Linked DNA regions of Macaca mulatta. The protein of the gene in region 1 binds, or shares a complex with, the protein of each later gene. Links are inferred from orthologs where the notes say so. Each region holds a gene or a part of one and is shown on either strand. Other genes may lie near its edges.

Region 1 (5,977 bases):
GTGACAATTGTATGACAAGGGTCTTCTCGAGGTGAAACACAAGCCATGTGGACAGGCAAGGTAAAATTGAGTCTAACCTGAGATTTTTTTTCAGCCTTTTGGGAAATGTACTTGATCTTTATGACATGAGTAAAAAGAAAATACCAAGTCTTGTATTCCCGTAAGAATCATTTTTTAGTAAGCCATATCTTTTCCATAGATGCAGTGAAAGTTACTTATTTAATTCACTAAAACCACTTCAGTTATTAGGAAACTTATAAGTGAAAGCTTTCTTAGTTAATACGTAACATTTTTATAGACCAGTGGTTTTCAATCTTGACTACACAATTTAATCAACTGAAGATTTTCAAAAAATCCTGATGACTAGGTCATATCCACATACCAATAAAATCAGAATCTCTAAGAATGTATTCTAGGCATCAGCATAGTTTTATTAATTCCCCAGGTAATTCCAATGCCAGGAAAAGACTGACAGCAGTGTTACATTTAAGTGCTTCTTAAAATTTAATGGGCACACAAATCACCTGGGAACAGTGTTACACTGTAGATTATGATTGCATAGGTCTGGGGTCTGGGAGTCTGCATGTCTAACCACCTTCCAGGTGATGCCAATATTACATTGAGTAACAAGGTTAGAAGCTAGTGCTATCCAATGGAAATATGATGCAATCACATATGCAATTTTAAATTTGCAGTGGCCACATAGAAAACACAGAAAAACAGGCAAATTAATTTTACTAATACATTTTATTTAACAAATATATTTAGTTAAATACAATATACAATTTGTATACAATAAATACAAACATATTTGTATTTAACTAAATATATATTTAACTAAATACCAATAAATAAAGGGAGACTATTGCATTTGTATTTAACTAACAGTATTTGTATTTAGTTAAATACAAATACAGTAGTCCCCCTTTATCCAGGGCAGATAAATCCCAAGACCCCCAGTGGATGCCAGATGCAGAGGATGGTACCAAACCTCATGCATACTACATGATCTGACAGCCCAGACAGCTACTAAAGGACCGATAGGTAGCGTATACAGCATGAATATGCTAGACAAAGGAATGTTTCATGCCCAGAGCAGGACAGAGTGGTATGGCAGGAGATTCCATTACACTACCCAGAATGGCATGCAATTTAAAACTTATGAGTTTTATATTTCTGGAATTTTCCACTGGATGTTTTCAGACAATGGTTGACCACAGGCAACTAAAACCACATACAGTGCAACTGAGCATAAGGACGACCTACTGTATTATCATTTAAAAATGCATTCAACATAAAAATCATTAATGAAATAGTTCACATCACTTTTTGTGTAAGACTTCAAATCTGGTGCATATTTTACATTTACAATACATTTCAAATGAGACTAATCATATATCAGTTGATAATGGCCACATCTGGCTAGTGGGTTACTCTATTGGACTACCACAGTTACAAACCATTAGATCCCATCAATGTACATCATGAAAATACCAAACTACATTATGCCAGTTTTCAAGGAAAATGTAAAAGAACTGACTACTCACCAGTAAATTTCCAATTAAAATGACCATCAGGTAAAAAGGAATACACCAGGATTGGCCTGCAACCTCCATACAGTCCCACAAGGTCTCTACCCACTCTCCACAGAGAATTCGGAACACGTTCAGGTAGGAGTGGAAAAAGTCATGCATGTGCCAGCGTGGGAGTTGACAGTTTTGGTCTATGTGGCAAACAAATTCTTCATAATTCTGACCAAACAGCCTCATGCCGAATGCAGCAGAAAAGAACATGAATATGAACAACAACAGGACCAAGTCTCTCAGGGTCACCCATGCATTACTAAGAGACCGCATCAAAATCTGGAATGTTGGCCAATACTTCCCCAACTTGAAAATTCTCAACTAATAGAGCAATGTAAAATCAAGAACAAGAAACAAAGGATGAAAAACCTGGTCAGTGTATCAGCGTTATACACATATACATATATAGCGTTTAGAGTTTTAAGCATTATTAATATTAACTACTGAACATTCATTTTATGTAAAATTCTTAATACATCTTAAATATTTGATAATTTTGTATACTCAGTCTAAATATATCCTCTTCTACTGATGTATTTGTCAATTCCCATTAAGCATTATACTGTTACAATTCCTCTAGCTTTATATTTTCATAACTATTAGGGGAAGTATTCATTCTTTGTTTTTGCTTTTCACAACATATTGAATATTTTTCCACATTTTTCCCATATGTTGACATGAAAATGATATTGAAAGTCTTCCAGGATCCACTGGATTCTGATGAAGGTACTATCATGTATTTCCCTTTTAAAATAACATGTCAGGCCGGGCGCGGTGGCTCAAGCCTGTAATCCCAGGAGGCCGAGACGGGCGGATCACAAGGTCAGGAGATCGAGACCATCCTGGCTAACACGGCGAAACCCCGTCTCTACTAAAAACACAAAAAATTAGCCGGGCGAGGTGGCGGCGCCTGTGGTCCGAGCTACTCGGGAGGCTGAGGCAGGAGAATGGCGGGAACCCGGGAGGCGGAGCTTGCAGTGAGCTGAGATCCGGCCACTGCACTCCAGCCTGGGCGACAGAGCGAGACTCCGTCTCAAAAAAAAATAAAATAAAATAAAATAAAATAACATGTCAAAGACCAAACACAACATTCTAGGTTTAGTTTGGATAGTCCCCTTCCTTTCACTAGATTTTTAAAAATTTCTGTTTATACAGAACAAGATTACCTTAATATTTTTGGTCACTATATCGCAGTAAACTTACAGTCAACTAGATCTCATACATCATTTTTATACAGGCTATACCTTCCTGACACTTTCTTCTCAATTTTTGTTTGTTTGACAGAGTCTCTCTCTGTCACCCAGACTGGAGTGCAGAAGCACAATCATGGCTCACTGCAGCCTCCAACTCCTGGGCCCAAGTGATCCTCCCACCTTAGCCTCCTGAGTAGCTGAGACTACAGGCATGAACCACCACTGTGACTTTTTTTATTTTTTAGAAGTGGAGTCTCACTATGTTGCCCAGGCTGATTTCAAATTCCTTGCCTCATTTCTTGACTTTTTCTAGTGTTCAGTTGTCTTTCTGGACTCAAGAGTGAGATCTTACATTTGTCTATGAAAAAAATTAATCATCTTAAATTCAGTCCATTACCAGCCTTTAAAATATTTTGATACTATCTTTTAGCACATTTTCTGCAATTGCCAGTGCTGTTTCCATAAATTTGGTGACAACACCCTGTATATATTTCTCTTATTCATTAGCAAATATTATGGATGAGGATTTAAGATAGGATTCTGAATGAGCTGCTCTCTAGGAAGTAACCATTAGAATAAGATCGAACGGACTTAATTGTTCTTAATTCCTGCTACATTCCTTCAACCTGTCACCAGAATGCAACCATGTATAACTTATCGAAAGCTTATTATTTCAATAAACATTATTCTAATAACATTACTCCTTTGTTTAATTTTCTGAGTCTCACCATTACCCTACCTCATAGACATACACTAATTTTTACCTAATAATTATTATGGTAACATTCTGCTGGCCTGACTGGTCTTCCTTTGTACCTGACATTTAGAAATACTCACCTTTATTTCGGCTTCTTGGTGTCATATTAGAATTCTACTTTGGAGACTCCTAATTTTCTTGCTTTCCAAAATGTACTCAGTTACCCTGACCCTGCTTTCTAAAACTGTATCTCAAATTTCCTGCATATATGGCATTATTTCCTTTAACGTTGTGGTCAAATAACAGCATTGGAGACTGCTTACTCTTTCCTTGGCAATAAACTCTTTATATATTAATCAATTCATTTAACACTTCCAATGTCCCAATGGGATAGATATTACTGTAGCCCCATTTTATGTCTGCAGAAACTGAGATAAACTTCGATCAAATAAAAGTTAGGTATTGGATTCTACTTACCATCCTGAATAATCGAAGAAGAGCCATTCCTTCAACATTTGCTAGACAAAGTTCTGTTAAACCATGGAACACTATTACACTATCAAAAATGTTCCAACCTACTTGGAAATACCCATATGGATGCATTGCAATTATTTTAAAAATCATTTCTGCTGTGAAAATTCCAATGAAAACCTAAATGAAAACCAAACACACAGGTGAGAATATGATTCCAAGAGCTGTATCAGAATCTTCACACAAAAACTCTGTAACACACACTGTTTACTTGTCACTGTCACATTCTTCACAGCTTCTCTGTCAAGATCTGGTTAGTTGTGGAGTCTGCATTATAAGGACAGACTCATACATTTTATTCAACAATCTAATGTCAAACATTATATACAGAATCTTTTATTATTTTAATAAAATTCATCCTAGAAGAAAACAAACGAATATTTCAGGGTGAAGACCTTTCAAGTTTGAATGATTATTTTTGAGGTACGGAGCACATGGTATGATATTTAATTTTTCAACCTCTGAAAAAACAGCACGAACCTATGGAAGCTGTCCTTTAAAAACTGTACTGGCAGAAATCACTAAATTGCTGTTTTGGTACCAAATAAATGTATAATTTGAAACTTGTTGCAGTTTGGCTGCTTTTATTAGTACCAAGCAACTAAACAACAACAACAGGGAAAGAAAATACATTTAAACAATATACATTTGCTTGAATGTGAACTATTTTTAAACTCACAGGAATTTGCTTTGTCTTTTGAATTGTATGTGAAAAAGGACAGGTGAATCTCAAAAATACCAGGCTAAAATGATAAGTTCCAATCCTGGGCAAAGATACATGGTTAGAACAGACAGGGCCAACTGCTGCTTTAATCAGAATTAAGAATTCAGGAGTCAGGTGCTTATTATTTCACCTCTGCCCTACTCTGGTCTATGAGCTAATGGTACCAAGAGACTGTATATTTGGGAAGGGAGGGGCAATAAAGAATTTCCATGTAATGTAACTGCCAAGCAGCTGGCTATGAATCCCAAATTTAAACTGGGGAATTTTAAATTCCAGCTGTAAAACTATTCAATGATAAGAACCTTTACAAAGCAGGGGTTGGAGAGATAAAGCACAAACACGAGGCTTCATTCAATAATTATGCATATTGCCACACATTGGAGTTACAGAATAAAATAATGGGAATAATGATGAACAAAGAAAAGTTCAATGATAAGAAACTACAAGTGAAAATAATGTACAATGAGAGTCTTACCAGGTTTCCAATGTTGAGAAGATTGTTAGTTGATTTACTCATTGGATAATGCTCCAAGGCCAGAAAACATATGTTTAAAATTATGCATATGATAAGGAAAAGATCAGTAAATGGTGCCATTACAATCCTATGGACAAATTCTTTCAATTTTGACCAACAGGGAGAACAATTCCATATCAAGAAAGTTGTCGCAAATTTATACCAATATAATGGGCATATCTTTTTGGATTTTTCAAGTTCTGAAATGAAAGAATACAAAAGTTAAACATTCTGGCCAGGTGCAGTGGCTCATGCCTGTTATCCCAGCACTTTGCGAAGCCCAGGTGGGCGAATCACCTAAGGTTAGGAGTTCGAGATCAGCCTGGCCAATATAGCGAAACCTTGTCAATACAAAAAATAGCCGGGTGTGGTGGTGCCTGTAATCCCAGCCACTCAGGAGGCCGAGGTAGGAGAATTGCTTGAACCCGGGAGGCAGAGGTTGCAGTGAGCTGAGATTGTGCCACTGCACTCCAGTCTGGGCAACAGAGTGAGACTCTGCCAAAAGAAGGAAAGAGAGAGAAAGAGAGAGAGAGAGAGAGAAGGGAAACCCTCTCTTGGGCAACCCACTTTCTCAGCATGAGGAAGCTTTCTCTCTCTCTCCTTTCTTTTTTGTCTGTTAAACTTTCTGCTCCTTAACCCACTTCACATGTGTCCATGTCGTTAATCATCTCGGCGTGAGACAACTAACCCCAGCCTTGCATTTGCAGGATGAAGCCGACTTGATCATGGTGGATA
Region 2 (5,977 bases), on another chromosome or scaffold:
AGTATCGGAATGGCCACCAGGAGGTAGAGAGCCCCTTTCAGGGGCGCCTGCAGTGGAATGGCAGCAAGGACCTGCAGGACGTGTCCATCACTGTGCTCAACGTCACTCTGAACGACTCTGGCCTCTACACCTGCAATGTGTCCCGGGAGTTTGAGTTTGAGGCGCATCGGCCCTTTGTGAAGACGACGCGGCTGATCCCCCTAAGAGTCACCGAGGAGGGTGAGGCTGAGGCACAGGGTCTCTAGGGCATTCTGCTCTCTGTGGACAGGGAAGGGTAGGACAGCAGTTTTCCACATGAGTGAGGCCCTTAAAGAGTGCAAAAACCTGTGTATTTGGAATGATGACATCTACAAATGTCACCATTGACCCATCTTCCTCTGGTGGCCAGCTTCCTGTAAACCGCCCAAGCAGCTTGTCTTTCTGTGCCTTTCCTCAAAGCAGAAAGGCTTGGAGATGATAGAATGAGCTCTTCCTGGTCCCTTAGAGAAAGAGGTTAGCCTCCATGAGGCCTAAAGCTACTGATTCAGCTAGGCCTTCTTCTCTGGCCTATGTTGAATCCCTGACTCAGTGGGCTCAGAGAAATCTCATGAGGTTACCTCGAAGTCATCTCTCCTTCTGCATGGGAGCAATACATGCCTCTAAGCCAGGGGTTCTCAAACATTAGCAAACCTGAAAATCTCCTGCAGCGCTTTCTGGAAGCCAGCCTTTCTGCTTTTGTCGGTGGAGCCTGAGCGTTTGCATTGCGTGACACGCTGCCTGGCAGGCTGTGCTGCTTGCTGGGACCGCACTTTGAGAACCTCTCTCTAAACCAAAGTTTGACAATCTTTTCTTCTTTTGTCTTGCTTCACAGTAATCACACGTGCCACCCCTTCCCCATCTGTGGCGTCTCTTATTACATAGTTCATTCTCTGCTGGGAGAAGGGGACAGGTCAATAGCTCTCTAGCCTTGTTTAAAATCTTTGGACTCCTACAGCTAGTTCCATGTTCGTGCGTGGGAAGGCCTTTCAGCAGCCTAACTCAGGTATTTCTGTTGCAACTGGAGTCCTGCATCCTGAGCGGGGAGTTCCAGCCTTTCTCAGTCTATCTCCAGCATTATCACTGCTGGTGAGCCGGCCAAAGCGTGGGGCATGAAAGAAAAGATCAAGTTAAAGACAGGACTCTTCTTAGAAAAAAGGATCCAGGAATCCTAACCTCCAGGCCACAGGTTTTTTCATTTTTTATCATGTCGTTGTGATAAAAATAATGAAGCAAAGTTTCAGTCCTCAGAGTGAATGAACGAACGGGTCAGACGATATGACTAAAATGGAAGGTAGGTCAATTCTGAAAGCGCAGAAGGACTCTCAGGGCTCCTAAATTCAGACCCGATGAGTCACTTCCCTGCTCTGAGCCCCGCTGCTCTGGTGTGAAATGAAGGGGTGGGCCAGGGGCTCTCTAAGGTACTCCCCTTGTCTGAAGTTCCTTTAGCCCCCGTTTGTTACACGCCTTTCCTCCCGGGGTGGGGCCCTGGCGCCCTCTCCTGGTCACCGTCTGGAACTTTCGGTTGGTGCCTGCCAGACCCTAGCACAGTGTCCAACTGTCTCCACCTCTGCTCGCTCAGGCTTTTGGCTCCAGAGACCCTCGTGCATAGCTGGTGGGAAGTGTGGCAAGGCTGAGCTAGTTCGTCTGCCAGGCACCAGAGCAAGCCTCGGGTAAAAACAGAAGGAAAAACAAGTTTATTATCAGAGCCACAGAGCCTCGTGGATGGTCGGGTGTGAAGGAAGCGTGGATATCATTTATTTAATCCAGAGCCTCTGGATAAAGGGCAGACATCAGACTTGCCCACATTGGCTTCCTCCAAATGTAGACACCTCTGCAGCACCCTTGCAGGTGTGAGATCGGCAGGGGTGAGTGAGGTCATATGCGAGTTGGATGACTCCCCAGGTGATTGGAGGGCGCAGCTCTGGTGCCCCTCATTTTGTGGCTGGGAGAAGAGTTCTCTGCAAGAGCAAGGGGCTTGCTCAGGGACATGAAGCAAATTAGCACTGGAAGCAGGACGAAAATCCAGATTGTTTGCCTATCCTGCGGGCTTTCTTTCCACGGCTGCTTTTCCCGCCGCCGCCACCCCCACCACCTGCCACTTTTTCTTTTTTCTTTCCTTTTTTGCCTCTGTGACATCAGATACTCCCTGCCCTCATCTTGCTCAGAGCTACGCACCCCTCCCCCACCATGACACCTGCCCACCAACCCCACATGTCCTCCATTCCTGTGGTCCTAGAAGGTCTCCCTGGTTCTCTTTGTTCAAGTTGGGTTTATTCTGGCATAGGCTGTCACCTCCTGGCCCTAAGGCAGAAACCTGAGGCCTCTTCACCTAGAGGTAACTAAAAATACTGAGGACAGCTTCCTGTATTGCCATTTGTGGGATACTGCATTTTGAAAGAGAAAGCATGCTTTAAGCCAAACAAATCATAAATAATGCACCAGGTGGTAGCAAGCCAGTGAGACGTTTGAGCTGTACGGCATTCTCACGTGCCTCACACTGCATCTATAACCTCTGGCTCCAGCTGAAAACCTGGATGATCCTGGAGCCTTTGGACTGCTTTCTGGGCTGAAAGTTATGGCAGGCTGTGCTGTACTCTTAACAACCAAGGATTTGGGGGTGACTTAGATCCAATGGACAACTGCAGATCATAAATCTGACTTGCTGTTGAGAGCTGGCAAGGGGAAAGGCAGCTGCAACATTCCTCCCACTAGCAAGGAGTAGATATATCAGGATATCTGCCATGTAGTATGTTTTCATGTTCCTTTTTGTTGATCATGAAACAAATAAGATAATATTTATTTTCAGCCGGGCGCAGTGGCTCACGCCTGTAATCCCAGCACTTTGGGAGGCCGAGGCGGGCGGATCACAAGGTCAGGAGATCGAGACCACGGTGAAACCCCGTCTCTACTAAAAATACAAAAAATTAGCCGGGCGCGGTGGCGGGCGCCTGTAGTCCCAGCTACTCAGGAGGCTGAGGCAGGAGAATGGCGTAAACCCAGGAGGCGGAGCTTGCAGTGAGCCGAGATCGCGCCACTGCACTCCAGCCTGGGCGACAGAGCGAGACTCCGTCTCAAAAAACAAAACAAAACAAAAAATATATATATTTATTTTCACTCATTCAATAAGTACTTATTGAGCACTTTAAATATTCTAAGATTTACACAGCAGGCAGATAATCCAGAAATAAATATGTTCTCAATAAGCACACAGTCCACAGAAAAGAAAGATCAACACAATACAACTCTTATAATAGATGGATGAGAAAAGTGCATGGAGGCCGGGCGCAGTGGCTCATGCCTATAATCCCAGCACTTTGGGAGGCCAATGCGGGAGGGTCACCTGAGGTCAGGAGTTCAAGACCAGCCTGGCCAACATGGTGAAACTCCATCTCTACTAAAAGTAAAAAAATTAGCTGGGCGTGGTGGTGGGCGCCCGTAATGTCAGCTACTTGGGAGACTGAGGCAGGAGAATTGCTTGAACCTTGGAGGGGGAGATTTCAGTGAGCCGAGATCATGCCATTGCATTCCAACCTGGGTGATAAGAGAGAAGCTCCATCTAAAAAAAAAAAAAAAAGAAAGAAAGAAAAGAAAAGTACATGGAGAAGGTTGTGAATAGCTCTGCATGAGAAGTTGGGGATGGTTTCACAAAGGGTGGGACCTCATAGGAATCTAGAACTACTGGGAGACTGCAAAGCAGGAGAGGATATTAGCACAGAACTAGCCACAGGTGAGAGACACAATCCAGGAAGAGGGAAAAGGAAGAAAAGTTCACAGATTCTAACATACCACAGTGTGTAGCAGTTTTTTCTGGCCAACCAAATGGAAATGAGGTAAGAAAGCCTGGATTGTGAAGGCCCTTGCGTGTCATGTGAACAGAGTTGGGACTTCATCGTGAGGGCAGTGTGGAGCATTGAAGAGTTTTCAGCAGGGAAATGGCAGGATCCTAACTGTTTCAAATGTACAGCCCTGGGGACAATGTGGTTGATACACTAAATCCTCCAATATTGATGTTTGGTTTTGGGATGACCTGGAAGGTCTTGTTTCTAACCCAGACTTGTAGAGAACATGCGCATATCACATGGAGGCTGTCTGTGTTGGCCCTGAATGAGTTTTCCAATGCTCTCTCCCCAGGAATACCACCTTCCACCATCGGCAGCTCAAAAGTCAGAGGCAGCTGAAATAAGGCATGTTCCTTACATCTGTGTAGACTTTTAATCTCACAAGACGTTCTGAAATACATTAGATAATGTAATATTCACAACCCCCTGACTGGTGTTATTATCCTCATCCTACAAACTAAGAAACTGAGTCTCAAGTAAGGGAAAATGTTGTTTACATACCTGTAAATAGCAAAATGGAGAGCCAGCTCTAGATAGCTCACTTTGAGGCCAAGATTCCTTCCACTGCTCTGCTGCTTCTTCCAGGCATCCCACTCCCTCTTCCCTGGCTCCTGAGCAACCGACGACAGCCAGTGAGAAAGTCAATGGTGGGAGAGTCAGGATTTGGAATTCCTTTGACATCTTCTTGAGTTTTTTTACTCAGTCTTTATTTAAGCTGTATTTTAAAATATGGCTCCAATGACGGCCCTAGGTTTGCTGGTCTTGCATATTCTGAGCCTCATTCTCTTTCTTTCAGCCGGAGAGGACTTCACCTCTGTGGTCTCAGAAATCATGATGTACATCCTTCTGGTCTTCCTCACTTTGTGGCTGCTCATTGAGATGATATATTGCTACAGAAAGGTCTCAAAAGCCGAAGAGGCAGCCCAAGAAAACGCGTAAGTTCAGAGATGCCAAAGTAATAATGAAAGCTAGCACCCTCAGAATGCTTGCTCTCACAGGTGAGGTGCTAAGCAGTTTACATTCATCCTCCACCCTCTTCCTGATCGCTACTTAAGAGATAGGCACCATTATTATACCCATTTTACAGATGAGAACACTGAATTTGGGAGCAAACTCTCCCAAATTCATTTTTCTCATCTGTAAAATGTAAGGCAAACTCTTAATTCAAATATCGTCCATGCCTATGTCCTGAATGGTATTGCCTAGGTTTTCTTCTAGGGTTTTTATGGTTTTAGGTCTAACATTTAAGTCTCTAATCCATCTTGAATTAATTTTCGTATAAGGAGTAAGGAAGGGATCCAGTTTCAGCTTTCTACTTATGGCTAGCCAGTTTTCCCAGCACCATTTATTAAATAGGGAATCCTTTCCCCATTTCTTGTTTTTGTCAGGTTTGTCAAAGATCAGATGGTTGTAGAAGTGTGGTATTATTTCTGAGGACTCTGTTCTGTTCCATTGGTCTATATCTCTGTTTTGGTACCAGTACCATGCTGTTTTGGTTACTGTAGCCTTGTAGTATAGTTTGAAGTCAGGTAGCGTGATGCCTCCAGCTTTGTTCTTTTGACTTAGGATTGTCTTGGCAATGCAGGCTCTTTTTTGGTTCCATATGAACTTAAAGTAGTTTTTTCCTATTCTGTGAAGAAAGTCATTGGTAGCTTAATGGGGATGGCATTGAATGTATAAATTACTTTGGACAGTATGGCCATTTTCACGATATTGATTCTTCCTATCCATGAGCATGGAATGTTCTTCCATTTGTTTGTGTCCTCTTTTATTTCACTGAGCAGTGGTTTGTAGTTCTCCTTGAAGAGGTCCTTCACATCCCTTGTAAGTTGGATTGCTAGGTATTTTATTCTCTTTGAAGCAATCGTGAATGGGAGTTCATTCATGATTTGGCTCTGTTTGTCTGTTATTGGTGTATAAGAATGCATGTGATTTTTGCACATTGATTTTGTATCCTGAGACTTTGCTGAAGTTGCTTAAGGAGATTTTGGGCTGAGATGATGGGGTTTTCTAAATATGCAATCATGTCATCAGCAAACAGGGACAATTTGACTTCATCTTTTCCTAATTGAATACCCTTTATTTGTTTCTCTTGCCTGAGTGCCCTAGCCAGAACTTCC

The links.
Region 2: the proteins of SCN7A (region 1) and SCN3B are in contact, whole or in part, in a cryo-EM structure (PDB 7TJ9), measured with the Homo sapiens proteins. The link is inferred for Macaca mulatta from reciprocal best matches to the Homo sapiens genes SCN7A and SCN3B. Residues at the interface, in NP_002967.2 of Homo sapiens: Arg269, Glu293, Tyr296, Leu298, Glu299, Leu305, Gln315, Cys316, Pro317, Glu318, Gly319, Tyr320, Asn922, Ile923, Thr926, Cys927, Lys929, Ile930, Phe939, Ile956, Tyr957, Asp959, Gln960, Ile966, Tyr970, Met973, Ile974, Tyr977, Ile978, Leu981; in NP_001035241.1 of Homo sapiens: Val25, Cys26, Val27, Glu28, Val29, Arg44, Ile46, Lys50, Arg51, Glu52, Glu53, Val54, Asn95, Gly96, Ser97, Asp99, Gln101, Asp102, Phe126, Phe128, Ala130, His131, Pro133, Val135, Thr154, Ser155, Ser158, Glu159, Met162, Leu165.

Annotation. Positions count from the first base shown.
Region 1 is NC_133417.1:71,396,604-71,402,580, forward strand, and holds part of SCN7A (sodium channel protein type 7 subunit alpha), read right to left. Parts: intron 5,443-5,977; coding exon 5,204-5,442; intron 4,125-5,203; coding exon 3,951-4,124; intron 1,905-3,950; coding exon 1,548-1,904; intron 1-1,547. UniProt on the Homo sapiens protein: Sodium leak channel functioning as an osmosensor regulating sodium ion levels in various tissues and organs. While most sodium channels are voltage-gated, SCN7A is not and lets sodium flow through membrane along its concentration gradient.
Region 2 is NC_133419.1:124,253,257-124,259,233, reverse strand, and holds part of SCN3B (sodium channel subunit beta-3 precursor), read left to right. Parts: coding exon 1-219; intron 220-4,653; coding exon 4,654-4,792; intron 4,793-5,977. UniProt on the Homo sapiens protein: Regulatory subunit of multiple voltage-gated sodium (Nav) channels directly mediating the depolarization of excitable membranes.